4 linked regions of the Caenorhabditis elegans genome follow. The protein of the gene in region 1 interacts with the protein of each later gene in a pairwise test. Each region holds a gene or a part of one and is shown in the gene's direction. Other genes may lie near its edges. The genes, in order: mut-16, ego-1, wago-1 and sas-4.

Region 1 (8,741 bases):
TGCATATTTTATTTGTCTGTCACAAAAAAAACATGAATGAAAAAAAAAACAAAAAAGACCCAAACATGCAATAAGAGGAGGTAATTAACGGAGGAGTAGAATTTGTGGTTGTTACACTCAAATGTATTGAAACTTTCCCGAAAAAACCAAATTTCATATACTGAGATATCTCATAAAAATTTAATGTAAATTATCACTTTTCCAAATGACGAGTTCGACACAAAATTCGATGAATACCAAGGTTGCAAGTTGTCCATCATTTCTCTCAATATCATATCCATCTGTACAATCGAGTTCTTCCATTTTGTATCTGAATATTATTTTTCGATGTTTACAAATTTTTGGATTTCGTATTTGGGTAATTTTTATAGCTAACCAGCCGCAACCCTAAAATACGACTATAATACCCCGACGGCGCCAGATCCGCTTCGTACATTTAACGCTAATTCTCTTACTTCGTCTTTAACTAGGAAATTACAAGAATATACGATGAATGTACGAATGGGGGAGATTGAAAATCTTCGCAAAGTCTGTGAATGTGCTATGAAGCGATTTGCCGATAGCAAGTTAGAAGCTTTCTTCTGGATAAGAAGAAACCTCTGCTCAACTGTTATTGGACGATCTCAACATAGTCACAGATTGTATTGTTAGAATAAAAAATAAAATACTGTTAACATTGCATGACTGATCGGTTTTTTCGACGTGGAATCAGTTCTAAGCTGTTCGCTCACAAATCCCTGATACAAATTCCAATCATTTTGAAATAAAAATGCTTTAAAATTTCACTGTTCATTCCTAGATTGCAAACTTTTGGGTGACGTAGGTTCTTTGGAGACAAAGTGTCCAAAGTGACAAAGGATCCAGTAGACAAAATGGGGTGTATCTTGGGGCCAAGGATCAATGGTACCAACCTTTTTTCAACTAGTTTCTTATATGTATTTTTCAGCTAATTTTTGTTTATATTTCACTGGAAAAAGTTTTTTTAATGCACTTTCCATAGGATTTTCGGTCATAATTCGCTCAGATAAACTTGTAAATGTCCTTTCCGATCGATTTATTCACTCGATTAGTCGTTGAATGTATATGGTGAGTGAGATTATGCGATGCTCAAAATGAATTTTCAATTTTCCCGCCGATACAGAAACTAATTTTGATTAAGGAACATTGTGGTGAGTGCGCGTCTGGTCCCGACGCGAAATTAATTTTAATGCTTTGAAACTTTTTTCTAATATTTTCGTTAAAAATTAAGGTTTATAGCCTTCAAAAATTATATATGGTCTTCAATAATTTTTTATTAAAGCTTTCAAATATTTAAATCTGAAATCTTAACCAAATTTTAAAACTACATACGATTTAATTTGAAATCATACACGTGAAATGAGTGTGACCGTAGTAGAAGCGCCGCTTTGTTTGAGTTGTATTTGAAAAATGTATTTTCTCCTTTTCAACTTTTAAAACTGCGATTTACTTCACCATATTCGTTATTTCTTTTCGTTTTCAAAGTAATTATTGTTTAGCTATTCAAAAAATTACTAAAAAGCGATAAAATTCGAAACAGAAGGTGTTAATTAACATGTTAATTGATCCTTTTGTGGCCTAAAAATAAACTATTTACCGATACACTTTCATAATAGTTCTTTCGGAAAATTAAAGTACTTTTTTGTCGATCGGTTTGAGAAAATGTGCCGGTGAATTTGATTTTATATATATATTTTTCAATTTTAAAAGCCAGTTTATCGTATACAAACAAATTTCTGTTATGTTTTAATGAAGCGACTGTTCATTAGTTTAAAAAACATGCCGATTTAGATGATTTTTTAGTTTCAAAACGTTTTCTTCAATTCTAATACTTGTTTTCGATAGAAATTCAACTTTTCCTGAACGCAATGCAATCGCGCTCTATCGACGTTTCAATGAATAACCGTCAATCATCTGCTTGCCGATCGAATATTTAGAACGCGTTTTATTGCTCCTTAACATTTTTTATCATTATTTCAATTGAAAAAACCATTTAAACAGTTTTCCAATCAGTTTGTTTCAAAATTGCCTTCCAGATCGAATTTCATTTAAATCTCAAGCACTGGAAATTGAAGAACAAGCTTCCGAATTCAAAAACAAAACAAAATATTAACTGTTAAAAATCTTTATAATCTATGATTATTGTTTATTGCAGACTTATCGGCTCAAAATGAAATGAATTAACGCAACAGTGCACGACTTGAAGTTTTAGCTATTATATATATTATTGAGAGACCTTATTACAAATTTCGCTTGTTTGTCCCAGAATCGTAATACTTCCTGGAATAGAAAGTTTTCTTTAATGCCTCTAGCAAATTATCGTTTACTTCTCATTTATTGCCGTTCAAACGTTTCAACCCACTCAAATACTCGATATTTGCAGAAAATGTCCGAAAGTGATGATGATTATCCGGAATTAGACATCTCCGATCAATATATCGATCCATTGGGGATCGTTGTTGGTCCACCACCCGCCTCGTATACGGAAACTGATCGTGAAGAAACTCCCATGCAAAATCGAACTGAAGATGACACTAATAGCTATGGAAATTCATCGGGTGAACATGACTACGATAGTTATTTGGATTCAGGAGACGATGACTTTGACGTGGATGCCTACTATGCGGTAAGATTCGTGTTCGTATATTTCAATTTTATTTTCTGATTCAGAATGACAATATGGATGAACCTCCACCAGAAACGATACCGGACAATCTTATACAAAACGTCATCGGAAGAAATGATAACGCCGATTATGATTTCAGCGATGCAAGTAATCCAGAAATCATGAAGGTATTTAAATACTTATATGATCTCGTGACCTAATGGTTTAGCGTGATCTTCAGCTGTTCCTGAGCTCTTCATTGCTGAGCAATCCATTGAAATTCCGTTCTGGATACTCCTCGGATGAATTGGATGATTGTTTGAAATCTTGTATGGGATACAGTCTTCAAGTAACAGCTGTTTTATTGCTTCCTCCAGAAATTATTTCTCAGCTTCCAAACGATTCCAAGGTAAATTACAATGTGCATAGGGAGACTATAACTTAATTGTTTTCAGACCGAACACGCCCATGCACTTGTACGAGGAGGTTGGCTGCAGTCCAAAGAGGGCGCATTCTTTCCAGTCATTTCCGATTCAGAACGTGAGACTGTTGTTTCGTTGATGAATGGATCCGAAGAACAGTGCGTTTTTTTTGTCACGAAAAGCTCTGAACGACTCGAAATAAGGCACCGGCGATCAGAGAGACGCTATTACAGGCTTTTTTTGTGGAAATTTTTATGTGAATTATTGTTAAAAACAGCAATTAATTTGTTTTTTGCACTGAAACCCCGTCATAATTGCTCTCGTAAATCGATATAATTCCCTATGTTCATGGAATAATCGAATTTGAATTATTTTATTCTTGTTTTGAACATATTTTTTCAAAATCAATAGCGAAATTGCTCAAATTCCATTTTTTTTAATCGAATGACTATTGTGCCGATTCACGAGAGAAATTAAGAAAATATTTCAGTACAAAAAAAAAAAATATATAAGTTAAATATTTCTGAGCTCTCCTTGCCAAATCACCACAAAAAAAACACAGTCTCTTCGATCGGTGGTGTTTCCTCGAAATGGCGTATAAAATTTGCAGGCACAAACGCCAGGAAAGGAAGAAAAAGGAAGCAGATACATTTGAATCCGAAGAGAAGGAAATTCGTACTCTACTCACATTCAACATGATTGCGGAATTGTTAATGGCTGTCAGAAATGAATATAGCATTCGTTCAGTTAAATATCAAATTCTTTCAACTGCTTATACAAATATGGTTACTGGTGCGGCACATGCGAATATTTTTCGAAAATATAAGGATATTCTTCAACTCGATCCAGAAAAACTGTGGAATAATGATTGGTTCAAAGAGTATACAAATCGAGGAACACTGAAGAAGTTTCTAACAACTGCAAGATTTTCTGAAATTGTGGTTTCACAAGCCAACGGCAAAACTGTAGAACTCTATTTTAGAGCTGACGATGAAGGAAACCGTGAGTAACTAAAAATATTTTCGATTTATTTTCAACGTTTGTTCATTCAGGACCAGTTGTTCTTTTCACTGATGAACATATTGCGGATGTTAGGAACAAATGGAAAACCGGCAATCAGAGAAATCAGAACTACGGAAGCCAAGGCAATTATAGGGCCGGTGGACAGAGATCAGGTACATTGCATTTTTTGTGATTATCTAAAAATCTTTCTTTTCTAGATGATCGTCGTGGTCCACAACAACGCAGAAATGTAATTGTACCAGATCCGAATTATCAACCATCGACTTTTGCTGGGGGCATTTCTAACAATGCAGATGATGATGGATCGTTGGTGAGTGCGATAAAAAAAACATTCATTATTCACAAAATTCTTTGTGTGCAATATAGAAATGAAATTTATGTGATTTTCAGCAACCAACAACTTCATCGCACTTTAATCGAAATACTGATCGGTCAACATCTCGTCCTCCACGTGCACCCACTTCTCCAGTCAATCGTGTGATGGAAACAGATCCACTAATGGGCCAAGGCACTTCGTCCGGAGCCCCTCAACGATCCGCGATTCCGAATCCATTTGGTGGAGCACCAGCTCTTAGCAGAAGCACAATCACCAATGGTAACCGTGGTCCTTCATATGGAGATCGTGGTGAGCGTGTTCAAGATGTCGGTGATACGACATCAGATAGTGAAATCACTTCTGAAGGATCCTACTCTGATGAAGATCCCGAGCAAAAGGAGATTAAGCGTCAAAGAAGAAAGGATAAACTTAAAAAGAAACAGGAAAGAGAACTAAGAAGTCGTGAGAAGCACACGAAGTCTAAGCAGCAACCTCCTTCGAAAAGTACGAATTTTATCATTTCCAAAGCGGAGTTTAGTGAATGGGGATGATGCTTCGTTTTTTTTCATTTTTCTATTGTGGTATTTCTGAACTTGAGACTATTTTAAATTTTTGAACTTTCAAACACCAACGATATTCCGCCTTACAAAAATTTTCCAAAATCACCAATTTGAACTATTAAATTTATGAAAATCTATTTCAGTTGAGACTCGATTCAATACGTACAAGAAAAAATCAGAATCATCTGCTACTGACACTTCCAATACACCTCCAGTTGACACTGTGAATGTAGCTCTCCCGACTCCAGTAGTAGAATCGTCTTCTACGACCGCAGCACCGTCAATCCCTGTTTCGACACGTCCTGAAGTCGTCGTTCCACCTGAGAATCCAGCTCCACTCAGAGAAGTCGGAAATTTCTACTCTAAATCGAATCACGACGAGGATAGACGCAATGTTCAACTTCCTTTCACACCAGCGGATACGCACAAACCGATTAAAGTTGCGCCAAAAGGTATTTTAAGCAGTTTAGGACTCGTCTTAATAGCCTAAAATCAGTTTCAGAGCCTGTACGGAATCCGCTTTTGAAAGAACGACCTTCAGCCAATGGTTTCATCAACAGAAGGTTCCTAGCTTTAAAATTTAATCTTTCAATTACCAAAAAAATTATTGCAGACTGCCATCACATCCAGCACCACCACCAGTCAACCAAAGTCAACCAGCCAATCAACCAATGCAAACAGCTGTGGTAATTTCATTTTTAATAATATTTTAAGTCTAAACATTCTATCCACACTTACGTTAGAAAAAATTGTTAGAAAAATCTAATGCCTCCGTGCATTTCTGTACCACTGAAATTTCATAGTGATCCAATTTTAATGACCGTAGTCTTGAGAACTTTGACTGTGTATCTACAACAAATATTTGAAAATTTGCGAAAAATTGTTCACATGATTACATTTTCGATCTATTTTTGCTGTTTTCGAAATAGTTTTGCTTCACAGTTCGGATAAAGTTGAGAGAAATGTGAAATTATAATTTATTGAGTTCTCTGGAAGACAGAAAAAATTAACAGAAAAACTGAAAGAAAACAGTATTGTTCACGTGAACAAGAATTGGGACATTCTTTTAAAAGACTGAAGATCTTTTCCATTAATTTATTGTCCAACACAGTCAGAAACTTTTCGAAGTGATGCGTTGGGTATTTGAACCATATTTCTTTAACCATGTTCGTTTTTTTCTCAAATCCTACAAGTTTGAAGTCATAATCATTATCTTTTCAGTATCAAAACTCTCATCCGGGTGCACCATATATCCCTCAACAGCCAACATATCAGCCACAGCTTCCTGTACAACAACCTCAACCACATCAATATGCGCCTCAACCAATACATCATCAACAGTAAGGATTATACTTAAAAATTCATTCCAAAAGTTAAATAAAGAACGCTCAAATGGACCCAAATCGAATTTTTTGATAAGATTTCGCAAAAATTTCCGAAATAAAAAAACTCTTTTTCGGTTAATAAATTCATAAATTTGACAATATTTTCAAGAAATTTGATATTATTTGACCATCTTTAAAAGTAATGTAAAACAATTCGCGTAATAATTGTAGTCTTGGGGTTTTCATGCAAGCAAAAGACATATCCTTTTTTGCTAAAATTGAGAAAAAAAAACAGAAAAATTCACAAAACTAACATTTTTCAGGCCAATCCACCAACCGATGCACGGCCAACAGTATCCGCCAGTTAATCAGCAGCAACCAATCTATCAACAACCGGCACCACAGTATCCACCATACAATTCAATTCAGAACAACCCTCAACATGGTCCTTCTCCATTTAATTATTCTCAAGTGCCACAACCTGCTTATAATCACGTTGGCCAACAACCATCACATATGAGCAATCAACCTCATATCAATCAAAATGGATATCAAAATTCGTACAATCCGAATCAGGGTCCGACTTCTTCCGATCCAAATTATGGATGTAATCCACAATTCAATCATTATGGCAGTAGATCAGTTTATCATGAAGATCATTCATCACAAAGAAGAAGATCACCTGATCAGTTTCCACCAAATCCTCCAGAATACGATCCACACGGAAACTTCAAACTTGCTGATTATGAAAGAGATCGAATGACAGTCGGATACAGTCAAAATCCACATCAATTTGACCATCACGGAAGTCATATGCCTCATCAGTCACAACCACAAGGATATGACAATTTTAACGGAAATTCTGCGCCGTACTTTAATAAAAACGGAGGACAATCAAACCATCAACCGGAAGCTCAAAGATCTTTTAGTGTTCTCTCTTCGAATCGTCAGCCATCGAACAGGGAATTAATATTTCAAGATGGAATTGAGAAGGAATTGAGAGATATAATTCTCCGTTATCGAAGCATGAACTTGACAGTATTGACAGTAAGTAGTAATTTTCGTTGAAAGTTTCAATTTGTTCTACGATGTGATATTAGTAATTATATAAAAAGTATTACGAGAAAATTTGATTGACACATACGAAAAAAATCTTTAAAAATAAAGAGTATTTTCAAATCATCTCTACACTATATTTTCGTATAATTAAAACAAGCTTTTTACTTCGAAAAATGCCATGTTTTTTCTTTCAAAAAGACTTCTTGATTAGAGTAACTGTACCAATTTTATGTTAAGTTTTTTTAATGAAAAGGTTTTCGTTAAAAGTGAATTATTTTCAGGTACAAGAACTGAGAACAGAAGTGAGCAGACGTCCTGCTATTCCTCGGTACATTGATATTGTCCAATATATTAGAGATTCTTCATCGGTTGCTATAGTGGAAAGAGGTGACATTGAGCCGTATGTCGTTTTGAAAGATGATATCCGAAACTAAGAATTTACTTGTTCCTATTACTGTTCCATTTTTATTTGTATTCACCCACTCGTCTCAATTTTTTCATTTTTTCTAAACCCATGTTTTTTTTTTTTAATTTTCGTTCTTATTGACTGCCTACTGATTATTACCTGTTTTTTCATACTTGAATCGCCAAACTTTCCTAATTAATATTTTTACGAGTCCAAATTTGTGTTTTAATATTTATAAAAAGTAGAAGAACCGGGAGTCAACTGATAATAATAATACTGCACGAATATTGGTGGTGACGGTGACAATTCAAAACAGGGATACGTGTCTCTGGGAAAGGGATGAAGGGAAAACTCGGGTTGAAAATTGGAACGAAGGCACTGGATGGAGGATGAGGGATGCACGTTTTCAGTATTTGGGGGTGATTGCTTCAGAATTGGCAACTTTTTGAATCTAATTACTGTTTTCCTTTTCTTTGGAATTTCAGAAATATTAGATTCAAAAAGAGAAAATAGCTCGTATTTACAGCATAATTATACTAAAACGAATGACAAAGTGCAACTACGTAGGGGAAAAATACAAGAAAACACAAAATGACAAATTTTGCAAATTTTGGTGAAACTATTTTGGAGAAAAATGTTGTCCAAAAAAGGATACACACTACGACGGTTTTGAAACTAAAATTTTTCTTTTTTGGAAACACTAATAAGGGGCAATAATTTGATATTAAAAGATCACAATTCGGATGAGAATGATGATGATGCGATGGGGGGGGGGGGGGGGGGGACTGTGGAGAATTTAACTGGTAAAAAAGGAAAACAAAGAAGGGCAAGTGGGACAGAAAAAATCCAATTAGAAATCTGAGAGAAAATGGGAAGAGAGTGGGGAATCCTGAGTGGATATGTATTTTCATTCGAATTTATTTCGGAAAGATTTGGATTTTTATTTGGGAAAAGGCAATTATAGTACTTTTGTGATTTGAGCTACGACGACGTCTCGAACAAGAAAA
Region 2 (8,904 bases), 2.4 Mb from region 1:
AGGCCTCATCAGGTAAACTTTTTACCGTACATACTTTCACAACTTTGCAAATTTTGAGTTCAAAATGTTTCCCCAAAAAGGTAAAAACGAAATATAAATATCGTTCCTTCTCCATTATCAATTTTAACCACATGTTTTCTCTTCGTTCTCCTTCCATTTCATTTCATCCGAAACACTTAATTCTCCCAAAGTTCACACTCTTATCACAATCTTCTTATCTCAATACATCTCTCAACATCATTCCCTGTTGTCACGTGCCCCCTCGTTTCAATTTCTTTTTTCTCATTGATAACCTCTTGGTACTCGAATCAAATTTAATATGATTACAGATACACTACAAAATGACACTGTCTTTCCGTGTAAATCCAGAATATGCGGCCATGTCAGAAATCGTTCCGGGATTATTTATCTGTGGAGTTTCTGCGTTGAGCAAAGATGAAATGAAGAAACATAAGATCACACATATCATAAATGCAACAACAGAAGTTCCAAATCTCAGAAGTCTTGGAGACATTCAACGTACAAAACTTTGGCTTGAAGATACTCCACAGACATATATCTATCCACATCTTGAACTTCAATCTGATCAGATTCAAGCACTCATTGCTGATGGGGGAAAAGTTCTCGTGCACTGTGTCGCCGGAGTGTCACGTTCTGCTTCCATCTGTTTGGCTTTCTTGCTCAAATATCGGTATGTCATCTTGTTTTAGTTAGAACCAAAAATAGTCCAGAAACTCAGTGCTTTCCCCTATTATAAATTCTATTGGACATGTGCTTTCATGTGATATCATAAGTATCCAATAAATGGGAAGAGAGCACGTGCCGGAAAACAAAAACTAATGAATCTGATGTTTTCCCATGAACTAAAATAGAATGCACATATTGATTTTTGATCTATTTCCAGTTGCCGAAATCTTCGTGAAGCTTATCATTTGATGAAATCAAAGCGTTCAATGGTTCGTCCAAATCTTGGTTTCTGGCGCCAACTTATTGCTTATGAACAGGTATGTAACTGAAAGTTAAAGACATAAACACTCAAAATCTAGTTTGATCATTCTTATTTTCTTATCATTAGGTCCAAAGTTTATAATTTGTATCTTACAGAACGTCAAAGAAAATGCTGGTTCTGTTCGATTGGTGAGAGATGAAGCTCAACCAGAACAATTACTTCCCGATGTTTATCTTAATATTGCAATTCCAGCTAGACCAGCTGTAAGTTTACAAATCATATTTCAAACTACAGAAATTGACCCTTTTAATTTTCAGAGCCCGGAGCAAGATCCAAATATGATCCCAGATGAGCCACGAGAACGCCGAAATTCTGGATTCAAATCTAAATTCCGTCCAGTGCTTGAACCTGTGATGGAAATGGCTGAAGCTGTTTGCTGATTATCATTATTTTCCATATTTCATATCATATTTTCTTGTTTTTTTTCTGTTTTCCTCCCTTTCCACCTCCCACCATGCACACCAATTAGGCGCAATTACCACTTTTTTTCCCTGAAACGGGTCAGTGCTTTAGTTGTTCAATTTCAATTTCTTTTCAAATGTTATTCTATTCCTCTCTCAATTATATCAGAAATACGGGTCGAAATCTGTAGTTTCCGGTGCCATGTAAATAAATTTTGAGATTTATTAATTTTATCTTCATGTTGCGAATTTCCATTCAAACACAAGTTCTCGTAAAATAATCATTAGAAAAATTGGAGATGCAGATTATTTAAAAACTATTCGGACTTTGGACTAATAAAAATACAAAAAAATCGAATTCCTCGTCCCGACTAAAAATTAACTTGTGAAAGTTTTTTCTCCCATTTTTGCCAAAAAAACCAAAGCCCAAAAGACAACAGCCCTTGTCTCACCGCGACAACGAAATTTTTGAACTATAACGCGTGCCACTTTTTTCTTATTTGTTTCTCGCTCATAGCTAAAAACTGCGAAGAAGAAGGTTAATAATTCGAAATTCGATTTCAAAATGCCGCTGCCTTCAAAGGAGCTTAAATCGTTGTGAACTACAAGTCTCGCAACGAACAGGGCAGATACGATAGCGCGCCAGAAACGTTTTTCGAATTTGAATCAATTTTCATCCCAAATGCCCAAATATTTCTGTTTTCTCATTTATTTTATATGATTCATGATGCTTTAGTCTAGTGAAACGTAATTTTAAAAAATCGAATATTTTTAACGCTGCAATTCTAACCAGAAAATCTCTTTTTTTATCTAAAAATTTAAAATCCGTGTAACCATGGTCTAAAATGTTGAAATTGTAATATTTTTCTTACAGACCATCTACCTCAAAACGATTTTAGCCTAAGATATATCAAAAATTATCCCGAATCCTCGCAACAATGGGGGACGAAGGTTATCGTGGATGGATTAAACTCGAAATTCCCTGTTCTCTGCCAGAGCGGCAAATGGGACCCATAGTTAAATGCCATGTAGCAAAATTAGAGCCAGTAAGTTAGACAATGTGTTCATCAATCATTTTTTTTGTTTTAGGCATTGAATGAATACAACATCAAGGTTTTGACAAAAGGACAGGTTCAGGTTGTCGAAGAGCAAGATTGTGAGCCGTTTTATGAAACAAATTATGAAGTTGCGACCAGCAGGTTTTCACATGATCTAATTGCGGCGATCCAGACATATTTAAAAGATTTATCAACGGTTTGTTGCTGTCGAAACTTTCTATCGTATTCGTACTTTTCCAGGATCATCTTATGCCATTCCAACGTGGAAATCTCGTTCTTCACAGTTCCGATTTTTGGTCTTCCGAATTGACATGTCATTTGGTTGATATTCCGCTTGCCGCTGTTTTCTTTGGAAATATTCAAGGCGGAACATTCATTAATCATTGGGAAGTGTCTTTCTGGGATGACGTTAGACGTCGGAAGTCGGCAAGAACGAGGAATACTGAACCAACACAAGCCGATAAAATTGGAATGAACCAAATCAAAGTGGAGTTCGAATTCGATAAAATTGATTTTATGACAGTTCACTTCAAGCACTTTGAAAATGATTTTGAGGTTGCTGATAAAGATGCGAAGAGGACCAAACAAACAGTTACCATGTATTACCAGATTACAGTATGTTTTCAATAGAATTGGGAATAAAAATCATAACAAAAACTTTCAGGTTAGGAGAACTTCTATTCGTCGGATTATTGTTGATCCTGTCGTTCAAGATTGTAATGGTTCGGATCGGATTCGTGTACATTTCGAACTTAATTGTCCTGTTCTCATTAGAAGAGCCTACCGAACGGCAAAACAGGAATCGGTGAGCACACCCAAGCCGTAAACCATGAAATTTCGCGATTATGAAATATCGAAATAAGATGTTAATTACAATTTTCAGGAAAATCGGCACTCCGTCCCACATTATCGAAGATATTTGGTGATCAATCGTGGACGAAGCGCGAATCAGTATCCAACAGCTAAAGCAATAACGGATAGTCCTGTGTTCACAATCGAGTTTGATCAATCTGTTGGGGTAATAATTCAATATGCATCAAGTTTTTACGTGTAATTATTCCAGCTCAATGAAATCTACCGCTTACTTTCAAGACTTCGCATCCGTACTGGAGTTTCCATTGAATTCGCGGACATTCCTTCGATTGACTGTCTCATTTGGAGAGAGAATCCTTATAACCGTTGGACATTCCTAAATAATCAACATCTGTCGCCCACTCATTTCTCTGCGCCTATTTACAGAGATTTCATCACGACCGCATTTCCAAAGAAACATGAAGTATGTGGCTCTCGAGAAGTTGACACCAACAGGGAAAGAAAATTCGCCATCACTTATCTCCTGGAATGTCTGATTTCGAGAGGAGCAGTGGTTAAGGATCAAATTTTGCTTGATGAAGGAATATGGCACCGATTCCTTGAAGTGATTCTCCACTACTACACGAAAGATGACAAACTTTGTGAGGCCGGACTTGAGGATTTGGTTCACATGATCGATGGTAGAAAACGAATTGGATCATTGATCAAGTGTTTCGATAGAATTTGTCAAACGAGACAGAGAAACAGTCTGGTTAATGGATTAACAACTGAAGAAATGAGAGAGGGATATCAAAGAGTTCGAAAGATTATTTTCACACCGACTCGTGTTATCTATGTGGCACCGGAGACGTTGATGGGAAATCGAGTACTGCGACGATACGACCATGATGGAACAAGAGTTCTAAGAATCACTTTCCGAGATGATGATAATCAGAAAATGCGAACGAATAAAACTTCGACTATGCTTGAAAAAACCGTCAATCAATATCTCAAAAATGGAATTACTGTTGCTGGTCGTAATTTCGGCTATTTAGGAAGCTCGAACTCACAAATGAGAGATAACGGTGCTTACTTCATGGAAAAATATTCATCATCACAGTGCAGAGAATACGAACGGATATATCAAATCAAACCACCAATCACTTTCAATCCAAAGATCCAAGCTGCTCGAAAGAATTTGGGACGATTCGAGACTATTGACAACATTCCAAAAATGATGGCTCGTCTTGGACAGTGTTTTACACAAAGCAGATTGTCAGGAGTGAATTTGGAAAGATGCACGTATATGACAACGTACGATTTGACTGGAGGAAAAAATTTGAAAGGAGATGAATACACGTTTTCTGATGGAGTTGGAATGATGAGTTATCGATTTGCTCAAATGGTCTCAGAAGTTATGGATTTTGGAAAAGGTGTTCCCAGCTGCTTTCAGGTACCATAATCTTTTCTTTGGTGTTTCTTAATAGTTTTTTTCAGTTTCGTTTCCGTGGAATGAAAGGAGTCATCTCAATCGAACCTCTTCTTGACAATCTTCGCCAGTGGTCAATTTCGTATAATATCAGCAAACCGAGCGATGACAGTTCGTGGAGCTTGAACTGTATGTTTCGCCCAAGTCAAATTAAATTTATTTCAAAGAGACACCCACGTGATCAAGTGGAAATCGTCAAGTACTCATCGCCAGTTCCAGTGGCATTAAACAAGCCATTCATCAATATTCTCGATCAAGTTTCGGAAATGCAATCCTTGGAATGTCATCGAAGAGTAACAAATCGAATCGAAGAGTTACTGGACAGACAAATGCTTTCTTTTGCCCAACAAATGGTGGATGAAACTTTTTGCAGAAATCGACTGAAGGTTTGTTATTAAATTACTGATAGTATCCTCATTACTGTTATTATTCAGGAGCTACCTCGTCGCGTAGATATTGACTACTTGAGAACAACATGGGGATTCACATTGTCTAGCGAACCATTTTTCCGATCTCTTATCAAAGCATCGATCAAGTTCTCAATCAGTAAGTTTAAACGAATGAAGCTTTTTAAACAAACCATATTTGTTACAGCCAGACAACTCCGAAAAGAACAAATTCCCATTCCGTGTGATCTCGGACGGTCAATGCTTGGAGTCGTTGACGAGACTGGGCGTCTTCAATATGGTCAAATCTTCGTACAGTATACCAAAAATCTGGCCCTGAAACTTCCACCCAAAAACGCTGCGCGACAAGTTCTTACAGGAACGGTTCTCTTGACCAAAAATCCATGCATTGTTGCCGGAGATGTTCGGATTTTCGAGGCTGTCGATATTCCAGAACTTCATCACATGTGTGATGTAGTAGTATTCCCACAACATGGACCGAGGCCTCATCCTGATGAAATGGCTGGATCTGATTTGGATGGAGATGAATATTCTATCATTTGGGATCAACAGTTGCTTCTGGACAAAAATGAAGATCCATATGATTTCACTTCAGAGAAACAGAAGGCGAGCTTTAAAGAAGATGAAATCGTGAGTTTCGTTTTAACGAGATTACATAAATATATTTAATTCTAGTCGCAATAAATAATATTTTCAGGATGACTTGATGCGTGAGTTCTATGTCAAGTACTTGAAATTGGATTCCGTTGGACAAATCTCGAATAGTCATCTTCACAATTCTGACCAATATGGATTAAACGCAAGAGTTTGCATGGATTTGGCGAAGAAAAATTGTCAAGCTGTGGACTTCACTAAGTCTGGACAACCACCTGATGAACTTGAAAGGAAATGGAGAAAAGATGAAGAAACTGGCGAAATGATTCCACCTGAAAGAGCTGAAAGAGTACCTGATTATCACATGGGAAATGACCATACTCCAATGTATGTCAGTCCAAGATTGTGTGGAAAACTGTTTCGCGAGTTCAAAGCAATTGATGATGTACTCAAAATTTCGGAAGAACGAGACGAGCAAGTGGAGATTTCTATAGATGAAACTATCAAAATTGATGGATATACGGAATATATGGCTAGTGCAAAAAACGATTTAGCAAGATATAATGCTCAGTTGAGAGTGAGTTTTAGGAGAAATAGTTGAAAGATGACCATGTTTTTTCAGTCAATGATGGAAAACTATGGAATCAAAACAGAAGGTGAAGTCTTCTCAGGATGCATTGTTGACATGCGAAACAGAATTTCGGATAAGGATCAAGATGATATGTCATTCTTCAACACAAACCAGATGATCGAGACGAAATTGACAAATTTGTTCAAGAAATACCGAGAGATATTTTTTGAAGTAAAGCTTTCCTAAGCCAGTTACATATGTGTACATGCGTAATTTCAGGAATTCGAAGGCGGCTGGGAAGGTAACACAGAAGCATTCTCTCGTTACGGACGTGATAGTAATATTCTTCAACGACAATGTCGTGCTCCGACAGTGCAGATGATGAAAAAGGCCGTAGCTTGGTACAGAGCTTGCTATGGTTAGTTGGATAACTTGAAATAAAAATAAATACTATTTTAATTTCAGAGGAAGCTCGAATAACTCGAGAAAACAAGAAATTGTCGTTCGCTTGGCTCGCATATGACGTCATCGCAAAAGTGAAACAAGACAAAAGTCTTACAAGTGACGAAGTTAAGATGGGTGGAGCAAATCCATTGTACACAATGCTTGACGACCACAGATCTCAGTATCTTGTCGATAACTCGAGAAAATTCGAAGCTTTTCGACAATTTTCAACACCTAAAACTAGTGGAGAACAAGTGAAACGAGCTCATAGAATCATCAAAATGTACACAGAAACTTATCCAGGATTGGATGCAGTCTTATTCATGTTAGACGAATGGGCACGGATTTCAAATCTATTTGAAAATCAATCACTTCGAGAATATCATTTATCACTGCTATTTATCCTGTTTGCTACAAGGCAATTTTCTTCCGTTGATGGAAATGCTGCCAAGTTCTTCAATAAGGTCGATGAGAAAAGTTACAAGCAGAGTAAAACAATTGGAGACTTTGAGCCCAGTTTATATATTGAGGAAAAAGGAAAAAGTCAGATGGTGAGAAGAATATTTGTGTTATTTTTTTTATAATAATGACTGTTTTCAGATGGTGAAGTTTCTCGAATTTTTGGCCTCGCGAAAGTTCCGAAAAATGGCGAATCTCTCATTCTGTGCTCTTGATTTCTCATCAATTTTCATGCGAGGAGAATGGCAAATTTTCCATTTGGCCGCACTCAAAACCTACTACAACGTGTTATTCAATTTACGATTCGAAGAACTTCCTGTGTCAACTGATCCAACAACTACAGTTCGTTCAATAATTCGAGAAAACGAACCGTTCGTGATTGAATTACCAGCCAATTGTGATCGTTCATTGGTTCATCGCAAGCTGGTAGAGCATACTGGTGTAAAAGAGATATTCATGCGAAACATGGAGAAATCAGTTCGCTCTTCGGATGATGTGCAAAAAATCAATAGTGAGTTAACAAAATCGAATGGTAAACAGATTTAATTTTCAAATTATTATAGTGCGTCTTCTGGTTTCTACACGTGGAACTCTCGAGTCAATGTACAAGTTGCGTCAACTGGTTGCTGTAAAAGTTCCCATCAAAACGTACGTAACGGGACAAGATGTGTCTACACAGATGGCTCGATTGTGCTATGAAAAGATTGTCAGAGGACACATCAACATCTAGAATGTTTCTCTTATTCGTTTTTAGCAGTGTTTTCAGAGATTTTAAATGTTTAATATGGTTTTCATTTTAAATTTTATTTTTCTGTTTTTTTTTTGCATGTTTTAATTGGCATGCTTATTTCTGTTTCTTTTTCTCATTATATTTTCCTGTTGTTTCTTTTGCTGATTGATTGAAATGGATAGGTTTCTCCTTCTTTTCATCGTTTTCAGCGTTTCGGTTATCTGTTTCAATGAATTGTCTGTTTTATTACGAATCCGATATTTGTATTTTATTTGTTATATGCGTTTTTTCGTACATGATTTTCCTATTGGATAGAATATAGCCAGATTTCTTGAAAAATTGAAATGCTGTCGATTTTGTTTGAATTTTGGACCAAACTATCGAACTTTTTTCCTTCTCGACTGAAATCAACATTTTTGAAATGCAGTTGTTTTTGATCAGAAAAATTTTAAAACATTTTAAATATACAACTTTTTAAAGGTGCTCAATTTTCCGAGATGAAATTAAATTTCTTTATTATTAGAAAATAGTTTTAAATGAGTTTCCGTAAATAAAATTACGGAATAATAATCACGATACTTGCTCACTGTTGCATTGTCACCACAGTGTCTTTTTCAGCTGTCTGCGTCTCCGACGGGCAGCGTCTTTTTCAGTGAACCGATTTTTGCATTTCAGCGGGTTGTTAACTTTCAAAAAATGTTTTTGTAAATTTCAAAGTGAAGGTTAATGAGAACCTAATTTATAGTTATTTTTAGTTGTATAACAGTAAAAATTTAAATATCCAATTGATCGATGGCAAATTTAAAAAATCTTTATTTTTGTTTGTCTTCCATAAAACCTTGTTTTTCGTGCGTTGGCCATTAAAATTTATCTGTATAAAATTTTTCAGACTCCTCGTCATGTCGGAACGAAGTCATGGATTCATTAAATTTGAATTTCCGGAATTCGAT
Region 3 (6,898 bases), 2.8 Mb from region 1:
AAGTCGATCGGGCATTCTGTGATAATTACGCTTGACAATTGACGATTTCGTCGGGCAAAATTATTTCGAGCTTTTTTCCCGGGCGATATTGGCACTTTTATTCGGGGTTTAGGAGGCATTCTGCAAAAAAAAGTGGAAATTGATTAAAACGTTATATAATGTAGCGCAAAATGCAAAGAGTTGGTTTGAAACAATAAATAACGCGCCGAAAATATAAATGAAAGTGCGCTCTACGGAGAACACTGGTATTCCATAACAAAAAAACAAAAAAAATAAAATTTCCATGTATTGGTTTTTTGAAAATTTTCCCAATCTAAAACTTTGTTCAAAACCAAAAAAGCGAAAGAAATATTATTTTGGTGATCCCGATTTTTCAAACTTAAAACTGAAATAAGTTTTATGATTTTTATGGGTTTAAGGAGACTACAACAACATTGCACGTACAACTTAACATAACAACAGGCTACATTCTATAATCTGCACTCAACAACAACAACAAAAAATCAATTTCCACGTAGGTCAAAACAATAATAGGGCAACGGGGGAAAATGAAATTAGCAGTTACACCACTTACTATTAGATACGCATTGTATGTAACGCAAAAACAAGAATGACAGGGTGGGATACAAATAAAAAATCATGGTATGCTTCTCACAAACTAGAAGTTGGAATTGAAAATACTACAATTTGATTGAATTATTAGTGCTGAAGCATTGACACGACGGTCGATCAGGAAGCCGGATTCCTTGTATTTGATGCTATCGGTAATCTGCTTCATACGAGCTGCCTCTGGTCCAGAAACTTCGGGAATTGCATCCGCAATGCTGCAAAAATATTTTAATATCAACTGTTGTCATTTTCTTAAACTCACATGGCTTCATTCCACAAATTACGACCACTCTTCGCGTACTCATTTGCAACATACATTGGTGTTGGAAAAAAAAGAAGTTGGAAGTCTGACAATTTGGTGAAGGTGGCACAATGGAAGTGAAATACACGTTCGAGCAATTCGTCATTTTCCGAGATTAAAAAAAAAAGGATTTGAAGAGGTAGATTTTCCTTGAATAAAAAAATCGTTATTGTCGATAACAGGAGAACTGACAAGTTTCAGTTCAAGGGAATTGATTCTAAAATAGAAAAAAAATGTTAAATTTAATCTCGTGCAGAAACTACTTACAAATTTCGAAGCTTCTTGTTCTCGCGTTCAGTATCTTGAAGCTTCTTTCGATTATTTTCCTCAAAATTGGCTAGCTTCGACAGTTGGCATGTGATTTCCTGTGTCCTTTTCTCTGTTTTCGCCGTTTGATCTTTTAGCATCACCGACTGAAATAAAACTTTTTCTTCTGCATGAAACAAGTGCAAAAAATTACCTTTTATTTTTCGTTTTCCTAATAAATTGAATTCTGAATACTTTAAAAACCAATAATTCTGGTGAGACGTTTGAGAATATCTGTACTTTTTACAGTCACGTCGCGAATCGGGATGTACAGCGCTGAACATTTTCCGCACATTTTCGGCAGATTTCCATCTATTTTAAGAGTTTTCGTAGGGACCTTACACAAATAACAAAATCCAGCAGTCTGCGTTGTTCGACAAGATGTGAGAGCAGGTGGTGATGTAAAATTGCCTTCTTGCTGGCGGGAATCCACATAGGTTGCAAACGATTAACTTCATTGCGATCTAAGCTACAAGCCTGAATTAGATGAGTATCATTCAAAATAAAATTAACAACTAAGTCACTTTTTAAAACATGGAAAGCACACAATACTTGTAAAAAGGAGAAAAATAAGGCTGTACAGCAAAAATAAATTCAAGGAGCGTTCGTTTTAACACTGAGTGGGTCTCGCAGCGATCTCCATTCTTATGTACTGTATGCGTTGTCATTTAAATTTTTTAGGACGAAGAAATTGTTTTTTGTATTCTTTTCCGGTTTGTGACAGTTTTCAATAATTTTTGTTAATTTTCAAGATTATTTTTATATTTTAATAATAATCTAGTTACAAAATCTTAAGAAACTTGCTCGTTGAATCTTAAAAATGTAAAAGTGATCTACATTTGATCTAGCCGCCAATTATCGGATTCTGTATTCTTGCGTCATTAATAATGATGATTTTGTACAAATCTAGTCGTTATTTGTTTTTATGCCGCCTCTGAAACACCGAAAAATCTCGAATCATTATTCTTTTTCGTCGGCAATACGAAAATTCCGTAGTTTGCCCTTTCTTCATAACGTACCATTTTCGTTCTAGATTGATCTCTTGAAGAAAACTGATTTATTTGTTTAAACTATTGTTAAATATCTCACAAATTCATAATTTTCTATAGATGTTCTCCAATCTCGCTTATTCGGTGCAGAATATTATTTATATAAGCTTTTTTCAGAACTAATATTGCAATAGTAATAAGATGTCTCCTCATCCACCACAACCGCATCCACCGATGCCTCCAATGCCACCAGTCACTGCTCCACCAGGAGCTATGACTCCAATGCCTCCAGTTCCAGCCGATGCTCAAAAGCTTCACCAAAGCACTGGCAACGACGCATGCATCAAGCGTTTACAACAGTTAAACGTATGTTTATCAGCATTCAAAGATCTTTCTAATGCCATATTTGCAGGTTGAGGATGGTGCGAAAATGTACATGAAGCCAACCGAACCTGGAAAAATGGGCAGACCAGTGGACATCCAAACCAATGTCTTCGGAATTGAAGTCACAAAGGAAACCACAGTTCATCGTTTTATGGTTCACGCAAAGGCCGATTTGACTTCAACAAAGGAAGTGACTTTCACTAAAAAAGGAAAGGAGGACTTCGTCGTTCAGGATCGTCGCGATAAGTGTTGCAACATCTTTTTCCTTGCGGTTGAGAAGAACCCGGAATTCTTCAAAATGAAGGATGGGAATCAGATTGTATATGACGGTCAATCAACTCTCTACACGACGGTCAACTTGTTCTCAGAACTGGATGCCAACGGTACGAAGTCCAAAGTCTTCCAAATCAACGGAGCTGATACCGGCAATGACGACCTTAAGACCCTGCCTTGCATTTCTCTCGAGATTTATGCCCCAAGGGACAACTCTATCACGCTCTCTTCTGAAAATCTGGGCAAGCGTACTGCGGATCAAAACATTGAAGTAAACAATCGAGAATACACTCAATTCTTGGAACTTGCTCTGAATCAACATTGCGTGAGAGAAACGTAAGTGAATTTCGAAAATTATTAAAAGCATCGCTTCATTTTAGAAATCGTTTCGGATGCTTCGAGCACGGAAAAGTATATTTCCTCAACGCCACCGAAGAAGGATTCGATCAACGAGACTGTGTCGACGTAGGAGACGGAAAACAACTTTATCCTGGCCTCAAGAAGACGATTCAATTCATCGAGGGTCCTTATGGTCGCGGACAGAACAATCCATCTCTCGTGATTGATGGTATGAAAGCTGCTTTCCACAAAGAGCAAACTGTGATCCAAAAACTGTTCGACATCACGGGACAAGATCCTTCAAATGGACTCAATAATATGACCCGTGAGAAGGCTGCGGCAGTGATTAAAGGACTTGATTGCTATTCGACTTATACCAACAGAAAGCGCCATCTAAGAATCGAAGGTATCTTTCACGAAAGTGCCACAAAGACCAGATTTGAGTTGCCCGATGGAAAAACTTGTTCAATCGCCGAGTACTATGCGGACAAATACAAGATCAGTCTACAGTATCCGAACGCCAATTTGGTGGTTTGTAAGGATCGAGGCAACAACAATTACTTCCCGGCTGAACTGATGACTGTGTCCAGAAATCAACGTGTCACCATTCCTCAGCAAACGGGAAATCAATCTCAAAAGACAACGAAGGAGTGCGCGGTTCTTCCGGATGTCCGTCAGCGAATGATCATCACTGGTAAAAATGCTGTCAACATTACACTCGAAAACGAGTTGCTCGTCGCTCTTGGAATCAAGGTTTACTCGGAGCCTCTGATGGTTAGTTTGTGTAAATTGTAAAAAAATATATTTGTTTTCTTTTTCCAGGTCCAAGCACGTGAGCTTGATGGAAAAGAACTTGTATACCAGAGATCGGTAATGTCGGATATGGGAAAATGGCGTGCGCCTCCAGGATGGTTTGTGAAGCCTGCGACTGTTCCTGATTTGTGGGCTGCTTACGCTGTTGGAAATCCAGGTTGCAGATTCTCCATTGGAGATGTCAAGTAAGACAAATAGAAATTTACATGAATCAATTCAATTCTTAAGCCAACTCGTCGGAATGTTCATTGATTCTTGCAAGAAGAAAGGCATGGTGATCAAGCCACCATGTGAAACAGGACTTTACAGTACGGAAAAAATTATGACTCAGCTGGAAAAAGTGGCTGCGAGTAAGTGCAAGTATGTCTTGATGATCACTGATGACGCAATCGTTCACCTCCACAGTAAGTTTTCCTTAAGTTTTCATGGTTCATTGAAAATTTCAGAGCAGTACAAAGCCTTGGAACAGAGAACAATGATGATCGTCCAGGATATGAAAATTTCCAAAGCCAATGCCGTTGTCAAAGATGGGAAGAGATTGACGTTGGAGAACATCATCAACAAAACTAACGTGAAGTTAGGTGGTCTTAACTACACTGTTTCGGATGCAAAGAAGAGCATGACCGACGAACAATTGATCATCGGAGTTGGCGTTTCCGCACCACCGGCTGGAACGAAGTACATGATGGATAACAAGGGACATCTTAATCCACAAATCATTGGCTTCGCTTCAAATGCTGTTGCAAATCACGAGTTTGTCGGCGATTTCGTTTTGGCTCCCTCCGGACAGGACGTAAATAATTAATGTGTTCGAGTTAACAACATGGTAATTTTTACAGACAATGGCATCAATTGAAGACGTGTTGCAAAATTCAATCGATTTGTTCGAAAAGAACCGCAAAGCGTTGCCAAAAAGAATCATCATTTATAGAAGTGGTGCATCGGAGGGTTCTCACGCTTCTATTCTGGCTTATGAAATCCCATTAGCCCGAGCTATTATCCATGGTTACTCGAAAGAAATCAAATTGATTTTCATCGTCGTCACTAAGGAGCACAGTTACCGATTCTTCCGTGATCAGGTAAATTTGTTTTATTATTCTCTTTACGCTAACTTTTCAGCTTCGTTCGGGCGGCAAAGCCACTGAAATGAATATTCCTCCGGGCATTGTCTTGGATAACGCTGTCACGAATCCGGCATGTAAGCAGTTCTTCCTGAACGGTCACACGACTCTTCAAGGAACAGCAAAGACACCATTGTACACTGTTCTTGCTGACGACTGCAAAGCTCCAATGGACCGCCTGGAGGAGCTGACCTTCACTTTGTGTCATCATCACCAAATTGTTTCCCTGAGCACGTCGATTCCCACTCCACTTTATGTGGCAAATGAGTATGCAAAGCGTGGAAGAGATCTCTGGGGTGAACTAACGTAGGTTTTTTTTGTTTAAAACAAAAATTTATTTATATTTTGCAGGACTAAAGGACCAATTGAAGCAAAGGAGTCGCAAGGCGAGCGCCTCAAGGAACTTACAAAGGAAATCGGCTACAAACAAACCGATCTCAATCAGAAGCGCGTCAATGCATAGATTTGGAGCTATGCCACATACACTTGATGTTTTACCTAGGATAATAATTTTACGGTCACCTAGGATAATAATTTTACGGTTTTTCCGCTAGTTTTATTGTAATTTTTTAGTCAAATGTTTTATATTTTTGTAATGTGGTTCTGTGTGACCCGTAGTAATTAAACTCGGTATGATAAAAGTTTTAGGCTGATAATATTTTTCAAAGATTTGCTTTGTGCGTAAAAGTTCGAGGCGATGTTTTTTGAGGATCTTCAAGTGAAAACGAAGATTGTCTGATAATGAGGGGGAATTTTGTTCGATTTTTTTTTGAAATTGGAACATTAAACATTTCTAGAGCTGCTTCCAAGTCAATTGACTAGTCGACTAAATATTACTTTTTGGTTGTAATCTCAATATTGAACAAACAATTTATTCACGTTTTTAACTCAAAATGGTAATTCGAAAGTTAATCAGAACAAGAAAAGTAATAAATAAAAAAGCAATTTCATTCAAGCCTTTCAACTATCCTTGGTTGAATTTTCTGTTCCCTTTTCTCGTGAGTTGAAAAAACGAATGGTGAATTCGCAAGAAGGGGAATAAATTTCCCAGATCCGGGAACTGTTTGAAGTTTTCCGTGAGCCCATACAATTCGCCCTCTGTAATAGATTGTGGTTAATGTTGTGCCATTGAGAGAATATGTCTGAATACAAGAATCAAACATTTTTAGATTATTTTTTTTTTTTTGCATTGGCCGCCTTCAAAAATTAAGACGATAAAATGAGCGTGCGGAAACCTTCTTCCAACCATGTACGAAATGCTATTATGGGAACACAAAATTTTGAGAATGCGTATTGCACAACATACTTGGCGCGCAAAATATCTCGTAGCGAAAACTACAGTAATTCTTTAAATGACTACTGTAGCGCTTACGGACATCATTTAATAAATAATCGATCAAATATTAGAAGAAAACTTAAAAGCTACAAAATATCGTTGTCACTATTCGAAAAGAAATTCATTTCAAAAATCGAGCCCGTAAATCGACACAAGCGCTACAGTTGTAATTTAAAGAATTACAGGAGTTTTCGCTAAGTGATATTTTGCGCGTCAAATATGTTGTGCAATACGCATTCTCAGAATTTTTTGTTCCCGTATTACAATTGCTTTATACTTCATATTAAGATACAATGTTTAAATCTGAACCTAAAATCCTATAAGTTGCGGTACTTATATATTTAGTATATTTGTACAGTAACCCCCCTTCGAATTTTCGCATATTTTTATTCAAAAATTGTAATTAAATCTAAAGTTTCGTTGCATT
Region 4 (7,753 bases), on another chromosome or scaffold:
CCAGTTTTAAATTACGTTCCTCTTGCCTTCCAGTTTTAGAAATTCAGAAGCTCTATAGATGTAGGACTCTCATAAGCCACAAATATCGTACCTCTTCAGAAAACCTTAAAAATTTCCGAAATATTGTTATTTGAAGAACACATGTTTCAAGACATGAAATTTGAAAAACGCCAGAAATTCCGTTTTACCAGAAATTGAATTTATCAATTAGCTTTGAATTTATCGATTTGTTACTTTCAAAAAGCCAAGATTTTGTACACCTAGATTCGAAATTTTGCGATTTTCGACGAGGAAATACGGTACTTTGCGTTTAAAAAAACGTAAAATTCTTTGGATAATAGTAATTCAAACCTAAAACCTAAATAAATTTTAGATGTTTCAAAACTTTCAGTCAACTTTTTGGTAAATTGCCAAATTCTAAGAAAATGTGGGCTTTCCCAGCAATTTTGAGCATAAATGTAAATCTAATTTCTAGAAAGTTGTTAGTTTTTTTAATCCGAAAAAAAACTCGTAGAAATAATTTGTTCATTTTTAATAGAGAATCCTCCAAAATTATGATAAGGACTGATATTTTTTGACAGTGAACAATAAAATTTCAATTAAAAAAATTATATATCTATGATAATTTGGCATTTTGGCGAGAATAGTTTCTATCAATTTGTTTAACTAGCAAAATACGACCAGTTTGAAAATTTCATTAAGACAATCCAGATACTCTTGAAATAGATATTCTGGGAATAGTTTCATTTGAAAATAAACGGTATCCTTTAAACGATCAAGGCCGTTACTTATAACTTATAAAATTATATTTTACAAATAGTTATCTGCAAGTATCTACCCATTGACATCCTTATTTAACTCATTTCTTCTTTTTTCTTCTTACAATAATAATAATGTGTTCAGGATGGTCACAGTGATACCAAAAATAATAAGTTCTCCATATCCTCGGACACGCCTACCACTGTACCTCTACACTGTTTCCATCGTAAGAATTACCAATCAATAGAAAATTCAAGTTTACACCTATAATTCTAGATTATTTCCTGCTCTTTATTATACTGGAATCTTCTTTACTGCAAAAATTATGACTGTGTCGTTGAGAAGGAATTTCGATGGGGAAGTACTCGGCACTTACTACAGGTATCATACAATTTGGTACCATAAAGAAATGACATAACTTTCAGTACTTTCCGGTGATAGCAGCTCCGATTATAATGGTAATATCGTTTTCTTGGTTAATAATTGCAATATATTATTCAAGTAGTTCATGTGTTCTTACATTCAATTTTATGGTAAGTTTTATAGGAAGGAGGAATAAAATAAATATTGAAATTAAAGGAAATGCCATCTGCAGTACTTTGTTCTCTACTTGGTGGTATTAGTTCTGTAATAGAAATTCATTTTTCCATTGAAGTAAATCAAGTTCAATGGACTGATCAGTGGTTACTGTCATCTGTGGGTTTACCAATCAACGATTGTTTAAAAATCGATATTTTCAGGGATCTTCAATACTTTTATGCCTTTTACATGCTACAATTGCGTTCACACTTCAATAATCCTTCCAACATATTTGAATTTCCAATCTTCTTCAAATCGATGTGAAAAAACTTGTATCATTGTTTTTATCAAATATGAAACATTTTATAGGAATCAAAAATATTATGTGAACTGTGATATTTACTCTTGCTCAATTCATTTCATGTAAATATTATTTTGATACTCATTACTGGCATAAATTATATTTTCGAAATTCATGTCACGAGCGCGGATGATGAGGGACAATTCGAATTAATTCTCTTTTTCTCAACAAAAACAATTAAATTTTGAACCTCCCTCCGTTTTCTTTGAAAATGGCCTAGAATTGTGATGGCCGTGGACTAGCATTTTCCCTAGCACGACGGCGGGAATTGTCTGCGTCATCTTCGTCTTGCACGCTCTCTCGTTACCCCCCGCTGTGGTTATTATACCGTTTACCACCTTAATCCCTTCAAAACGCTTTTATAATTTCACATAATCTCTTCTTAGAAATCTCAATCGTTTATTCAGATGGGAAATCGATCAAAGACAGACAATGCAACTGCCGTGGCATCGCAACCACCCAAAAAAGTTAAATCGTAAGTTTTCTTTCCTATTTTCAAAACTAATATATCTGAAATCATCAACATTTTTAGGAAAAAGCAAAAGAAAATGAGCTTTTCACAAGCACAAGACGTATATCTTCGTCTGAAGCAAGAAAAAGAAGAGGAGAAACAACGAGAGCGAGCCGAACGAGAAAAGCGAAATGAGACGATTGCAGCGACAAATAAATCAAGAAAGAAGATGAATCAGGCATTGGCAAAAAGAAATAAAAAAGGACAACCAAATCTGAATGCTCAAATGGATGTACTTCTCGAGAGGATACAGAAAAGAGTGGATAAGGAGAAAAAGGAGAAGAAATGAACTAATTGTTTTGTCTTTTATATTTTCAGATTTTTTTTGTTGAAATGAAATTGTTGTGTTTTTAAAAATCGATAGTTTTATCGTTTCTTCGTTTCTTACCGATAGTATACTTTATTTTCTGAAATATAATTCAATTATTTATTAAAAACCTTTTCAGCCTTCAGATGGCTTCCGATGAAAATATCGGTGCCGACGGTGAACAGAAGCCTTCTCGGCCGTTTTTGAGAAAAGGACAAGGAACAGCAAGATTTAGAATGGTAGTTTGTGCAAATACAAGGCTTATCGAAATAATATATGAAGTTCAGCCTAGAAACAACAAAACATCTGCTGGTGCACCTCCAACGTCGGAACTTTCATCTGCTTCAAGTCCTTCTATTAATGTTCCTAGGTTTAGTCTGTCGGTAAGTAAAATATCTTAAATACAAACGTTATAAAACTGTGGTGACTAGTTAAATATAAATATTAAGTAGAATTATTCCAGAATGCTCTCCCGAACTCTGCCCGAACCGTGGACAGTGGAATATCAAATGAAGACGAGACCCGTCCACCAACCACCGCATCTCTTCCAATGGATCAACCATCATTGTCATCTTCGCCGGAAAATCGTCTAAATCCCGCACCTTCCGTTGCTGAAGAGCATGGCCACAGTGGACAGCACGCTGAAGAAGAAGAAGACAATGACACGGATGAAGTATCTGCAATGCCTTCTTTTGTGCCTGATGAACCTTCGACTCTTGTTAATTCAGATCATGAATTGTCTGATGATGCTTTAAAGTATAAAAATGCAGCTGCCGAATTCAAAGCTTTTGAGAGAAGAATGGATTCGGTAAGAACAGCCAAATCAGAATGATAATTGAAATTTTACATAGAATAGATTTACGTATCAAAAATCAAAACCTACGAATACTCTCTAATTCAAAATTTAATTAATTAAAATTAAAGATGAGATCAGCTTCAACAATCACAACATCACTGGCAACGCCATCATCTTGTGCACCATCAAACTCCTCTGAGCCTCCTACTCGGTCTACACCAATTATGAACGATTTAGGCGTTGGCCCAAATAATCACAATTGGCCGTCTTCAATGCAAGAATTATCAGGAATTTCTCTGGAAACACCACAGGCTCGACCGCTTGGCAGCAATAGAATTAATCAGCTTGGTAGGTTAATAACAAAAAAAACATGATTGATTAGATTTTTAGTTCGAAGTGAGGCTCAAACGGGAATAAGCCTTTTACAACACCATGAAAGACCTACTGTGACCGCCCCATTGAGACGAAATGATATGATGAACTCATCACGACAGAATCCACAGAATGGAAATGTTCAAGATGAAAATCGACCCGAGCACGTTTATGATCAACCAATACATGTTCCTGGATCATCACTGGACCGACAGAAACTTGAAATTGAAATTCGACGTCATCGTAACTTGAACATACAACTGAGAGACACTATTGCTCACTTGGATTATGCAGAAGAATCCGTGCACACCACAAAACGACAGCTCGAAGAAAAAATTTCCGAAGTCAATAATTTTAAGAAAGAACTGATAGAAGAATTTAAGAAATGCAAAAAAGGAGTTGAGGAAGAATTTGAGAAGAAGTTTGAGAAAATTAAGGAAGATTATGATGAACTTTACGAGAAATTGAAGAGGGATCAACGAGATCTTGAACGAGATCAGAAGATATTGAAGAAAGGAACGGGAGAAAGGAATAAAGAATTCACAGAAACGGTAATTAAGAATTTAAGCAAGAAATAGTTATTCGAGAAAAACCACGAAATTTCGATTGAAAATTTTTCTCAAAGCAAAATCTAAAATTTTCATTGAAATAAATTGAGAATTTAAAAAGTTGAAATTCTATTATAAAACCTTTAATTTAAAATCCAGCAAAACTTGTCAAATTTCAGATAGCCACTCTCCGCGACAAATTAAGAGCATCAGAAACCAAGAATGCACAATATCGACAGGATATACGTGTTCGAGACGAAAAGCTCAAGAAAAAAGACGAGGAAATCGAGAAGCTTCAGAAAGACGGAAACCGGCTAAAGAGCACTCTACAGACTTTAGAAAAGCGCGTAAAACAATTACGTACTGAAAAAGAACGCGACGATAAAGAAAAGGAGATGTTCGCGAAGGTTGCAATGAATCGAAAAACTTCGAATCCAGTGCCACCAGTTTTGAATCAAAGTGTTCCAATTTCGATAACATCAAATGGTCCATCTAGACATCCATCATCATCTTCGTTGACAACATTTAGAAAACCATCTACATCAAATCGAGAAAGAGGTGTTAGTTGGGCAGATGAACCAAATGAACAATCATTGGAAGCTGTACCACAGGAGTTTTTGATGGTAATATTTAGATCAAAGCAGGGTTTTTTTAAAATTGTTTTTAGAATATTGCTCTGAAAAAATCAATTCAAAAAAAATTTCAAATTATTTTTTCTTCCCGACTAAAAAATTAATATTTTTGAAAAATAGTTTTTTAAGTCTAAAAATTTACAGCTTACTATTAGCATTTGCCGAAAGTTCCGATTTTTCAAAATTCCCAGAATTAAAAATCAATAGTTTTCGAGTTACCGAAAATTGTCAAAAAAAAATTTTAAATCATGCTTTTTGAAGATGCCAGTCAAAGAAATGCCGGGAAAATTTGGAAAATGCACGATCTACAGAGATTCTCTTGGAGAAACATCTAAAGTGACGGATACAATAGCTAACGGTCTTCTTTTCGAATATTCCAATGGAGATCTTCGATGGGTTAATCGGCAGAACGCTGTTAATGTAAGTTTTAATTGGAATTTTGTCAATTAAAGTGACCAATTTACAGATCTACATATCCGCAGTTGATAAAACAGTCAGAATTGATCTCCCCACATACAATATTTCAATTATTCATACATTTCAAAGGCAAGTTGAAGTACTTCGTCCTGGAAATAACATAACATTGATAAGTATTAAACGACGAGAAGTTCGAACTGATTTGATTTATCAAAACGGAATGTATAAAACTGAAATGTAAGATTATTTTCTTTTTTAAAGTTCATCGGAAATTTCGTATTTCAGCTTCAATAGGGACGGAAGATATGTTACGAAGGATTTTAGCAATCAAGAAGTTTCGAGAAAGTGAGTCTCTATTCATTTTCCAATTAATTATTCAGAAAAACCATTAAAATCTCAAAACTATTACCCAGATGTTTAATTTAATTTAATTTAATTTATTACGATAGAAGATATCGTTAGGTAGAAAAAAAAACACACACACATTAATAGATACAAACCATCACAAGTGGTTACATAAATAAATTACATAAATAAAACGAAACAAAAATAAAAAAAGAGATGTGACATTTTGCGGCAAAAAATGTCTCGGCACGATAAAATTTAGTTAAATGGGAAAAGGCGTGCGCCTTTAAATATTACTGTAGTTTAAAAATCGCGTTACTGTCGAATTGTTGTTTGCCCCTTTTTTTTTTGATAAAAACATGTTTATTAGTTTAGAAAAAAGATAAATAAACCAAACTACAACAGTCTTTATAGGCGCACGTATTTTCACATTTAAAAATCTGTCCTTTAACGAAAAAATTGTAAAATTTGGCGCCTTCAAAGAGTACTGTAATTTCAAACTCAATTTGAAACAGAATTTTCATCGATTTTCCTTAGTTAGTTTTTCGATGAATTTTAATTTATTCATTAAAAAAACTCAAATAAGTATAACGATATTTTAGCAAATAATATATTTTCAAACAAAACATGTTTCTATAATTTTTGTCTAACCCAAAATTTAGGAATATGACCTCAATTCTTCAAAAAGTTAGTAAAACAGGTTTAAAACCCCGTTATAAATATTTTTGCCTCTGAAACCTATCAAATTTTCAGATACAATCCCGGTACACACACATATCGCGACAATCAATGTCGCTACGTTCTCGTCACTGATTACAACGATTTTGAGCTCGTTGAGCCAGAATTCCGTCTTCGTTGGTATCAGGGAGATCCGACTGGTCTCAACAATCAGTATATTCTCAAGATCATTGGACGACCTGAATGCAGCGAGAAAACATTGAGACTTGAAGTGAATCTTTCCACGTGTGAAGGTACATTGGAAACTGCAGAGATGATAGGCGATAAACGTCGGAAAACAACTTTGTTCCAGTGGAAAAAATGAGAAATTCCAACCCCTTTATTTTAACTTGTGGTTTGTATATCTATTCCATTGACATTATTTTTCACTCCTGAGTGCTCTAAAATTATAATTAATTCTACCTCCTGTAAAATCATATCAAATAATTCAATCATTTTTTACTATCTCAATTTTCACTTGCCCCCTCCCCCATTTCTTTCATATTGATCTTCATGGTTATTTTATTGACTGTTATAAACAATTTTAACTTTAAATGTTCTGCACAAAATTCGGGATTCAGATTGCAAAGATTTATTGGAACACTGGAGACATTTCAAGATGATCTCGGATCTTCTGCACGACTCGACGGACTCAAACTTTGAACATTTTCGTGTGAGATTTTCTTTTCTTTTTCCGCACTTTTCTTCTCTTTCTTCTCCTCACCACTTCCATCTTTCTTCTGATCATCTACATCCAGGAGCAGCATCTTGTGACGTGTAATCTTTAGATCACTGAGACGAGTTTTCGAATCGCCGACTTCAAGAGGAGCCTACAATCATCCTTATCTTTTTATATTCAGAATATCAAAAAACTAACCGGGTCACCTCGACCAGAAAACTCGCCTTCGCCTTCTTCACTCGATGATTTCTGAGTTCTCAGAGTAATCATATGGGTCTTACCGCTGACACCAAGAAGCGTGTAGAGTCGAGCCATCAGATCGTCTGAACGATATAATTGTTTAAAAATCTTAGATTCTTAAGCTTACGATAAGTGGCATCCGTTGGAAGGCTGACAACGACTGGCTTTGAAAGGTACAAAAAGTACCAAAGACGTTGATCCGGAACCTTCTTATGTCGACGAGTCCTTCCACTTTTTGATTTGTTCACAGATCCTTTCCGAGTAGCACGAGTACTTCCTCGAATCTTTCCACGTTCAGCTCCATTATTCGACAATTCTCCAGTATGCTCAGCAATTTGTTGCGGTGAGACTTCACGCGTAAAAGCATTTGACGGAGATGTCGAAGTGGCACAAGACGAGTGGTTTTCTGAAAGATTGAACTCTTTTTATCAGATTTCTGATCAATTTCTGTTACCTTTTGGCTGAAGTGGACTACACACCAGACAGTAGAAGTGCCCACAATCAAAACGATCCAAATTGTTTAACCCAATGATTAACTGGAATAATTGGT

The links.
Region 2: the proteins of mut-16 (region 1) and ego-1 interact in a two-hybrid assay, tested with the Caenorhabditis elegans proteins (one study listed by BioGRID).
Region 3: the proteins of mut-16 (region 1) and wago-1 interact in a two-hybrid assay, tested with the Caenorhabditis elegans proteins (one study listed by BioGRID).
Region 4: the proteins of mut-16 (region 1) and sas-4 interact in a two-hybrid assay, tested with the Caenorhabditis elegans proteins (one study listed by BioGRID).

Annotation. Positions count from the first base shown.
Region 1 is NC_003279.8:10,077,758-10,086,498, forward strand, and holds mut-16 (MUTator), read left to right. Parts: upstream 1-2,401; 5' UTR 2,402-2,404; coding exon 2,405-2,644; intron 2,645-2,688; coding exon 2,689-2,811; intron 2,812-2,852; coding exon 2,853-3,032; intron 3,033-3,078; coding exon 3,079-3,203; intron 3,204-3,655; coding exon 3,656-4,047; intron 4,048-4,097; coding exon 4,098-4,220; intron 4,221-4,265; coding exon 4,266-4,378; intron 4,379-4,458; coding exon 4,459-4,888; intron 4,889-5,087; coding exon 5,088-5,396; intron 5,397-5,446; coding exon 5,447-5,507; intron 5,508-5,557; coding exon 5,558-5,630; intron 5,631-6,165; coding exon 6,166-6,284; intron 6,285-6,592; coding exon 6,593-7,316; intron 7,317-7,609; coding exon 7,610-7,762; 3' UTR 7,763-7,951; downstream 7,952-8,741.
Region 2 is NC_003279.8:7,649,717-7,658,620, reverse strand, and holds ego-1 (RNA-directed RNA polymerase), read left to right. Parts: upstream 1-2,282; 5' UTR 2,283-2,348; coding exon 2,349-2,456; intron 2,457-2,499; coding exon 2,500-2,664; intron 2,665-2,708; coding exon 2,709-3,083; intron 3,084-3,132; coding exon 3,133-3,273; intron 3,274-3,351; coding exon 3,352-3,486; intron 3,487-3,531; coding exon 3,532-4,713; intron 4,714-4,757; coding exon 4,758-5,135; intron 5,136-5,183; coding exon 5,184-5,295; intron 5,296-5,343; coding exon 5,344-5,786; intron 5,787-5,853; coding exon 5,854-6,327; intron 6,328-6,372; coding exon 6,373-6,552; intron 6,553-6,600; coding exon 6,601-6,739; intron 6,740-6,786; coding exon 6,787-7,316; intron 7,317-7,365; coding exon 7,366-7,735; intron 7,736-7,787; coding exon 7,788-7,954; 3' UTR 7,955-8,280; downstream 8,281-8,904. Other genes in the region: F26A3.4 (Protein-tyrosine-phosphatase), read left to right, coding at 342-691, 905-1,004, 1,105-1,212, 1,267-1,389; rrf-1 (RNA-directed RNA polymerase), read left to right, coding at 8,854-8,904.
Region 3 is NC_003279.8:7,233,002-7,239,899, forward strand, and holds wago-1 (Argonaute protein wago-1), read left to right. Parts: upstream 1-2,382; 5' UTR 2,383-2,406; coding exon 2,407-2,571; intron 2,572-2,617; coding exon 2,618-3,198; intron 3,199-3,242; coding exon 3,243-3,975; intron 3,976-4,023; coding exon 4,024-4,199; intron 4,200-4,242; coding exon 4,243-4,418; intron 4,419-4,460; coding exon 4,461-4,807; intron 4,808-4,853; coding exon 4,854-5,093; intron 5,094-5,133; coding exon 5,134-5,441; intron 5,442-5,486; coding exon 5,487-5,598; 3' UTR 5,599-5,791; downstream 5,792-6,898. Other genes in the region: hasp-1 (non-specific serine/threonine protein kinase), read right to left, coding at 1-119; R06C7.2 (BEN domain-containing protein), read right to left, coding at 659-824, 872-1,059, 1,103-1,127, 1,178-1,500; dhp-1 (Dihydropyrimidinase 1), read right to left, coding at 6,083-6,233. UniProt on the Caenorhabditis elegans protein: Argonaute protein which is involved in the endogenous small interfering RNA (endo-siRNA) pathway. Interacts with secondary 22G-RNAs, which are RNA-dependent RNA polymerase-derived endo-siRNAs, typically 22 nucleotides in length with a 5'guanosine residue.
Region 4 is NC_003281.10:8,313,432-8,321,184, reverse strand, and holds sas-4 (Spindle assembly abnormal protein 4), read left to right. Parts: upstream 1-2,596; 5' UTR 2,597-2,603; coding exon 2,604-2,696; intron 2,697-2,744; coding exon 2,745-2,840; intron 2,841-2,920; coding exon 2,921-3,265; intron 3,266-3,381; coding exon 3,382-3,601; intron 3,602-3,643; coding exon 3,644-4,176; intron 4,177-4,352; coding exon 4,353-4,796; intron 4,797-5,066; coding exon 5,067-5,225; intron 5,226-5,271; coding exon 5,272-5,459; intron 5,460-5,507; coding exon 5,508-5,567; intron 5,568-6,320; coding exon 6,321-6,609; 3' UTR 6,610-6,836; downstream 6,837-7,753. Other genes in the region: F10E9.10 (uncharacterized protein), read left to right, coding at 905-985, 1,036-1,140, 1,185-1,292, 1,339-1,455, 1,500-1,556; F10E9.11 (rRNA-processing protein FYV7), read left to right, coding at 2,047-2,114, 2,172-2,439; F10E9.2 (uncharacterized protein), read right to left, coding at 6,899-7,114, 7,162-7,286, 7,331-7,609, 7,658-7,739. UniProt on the Caenorhabditis elegans protein: Required for centrosome duplication. Plays a central role in determining centrosome size.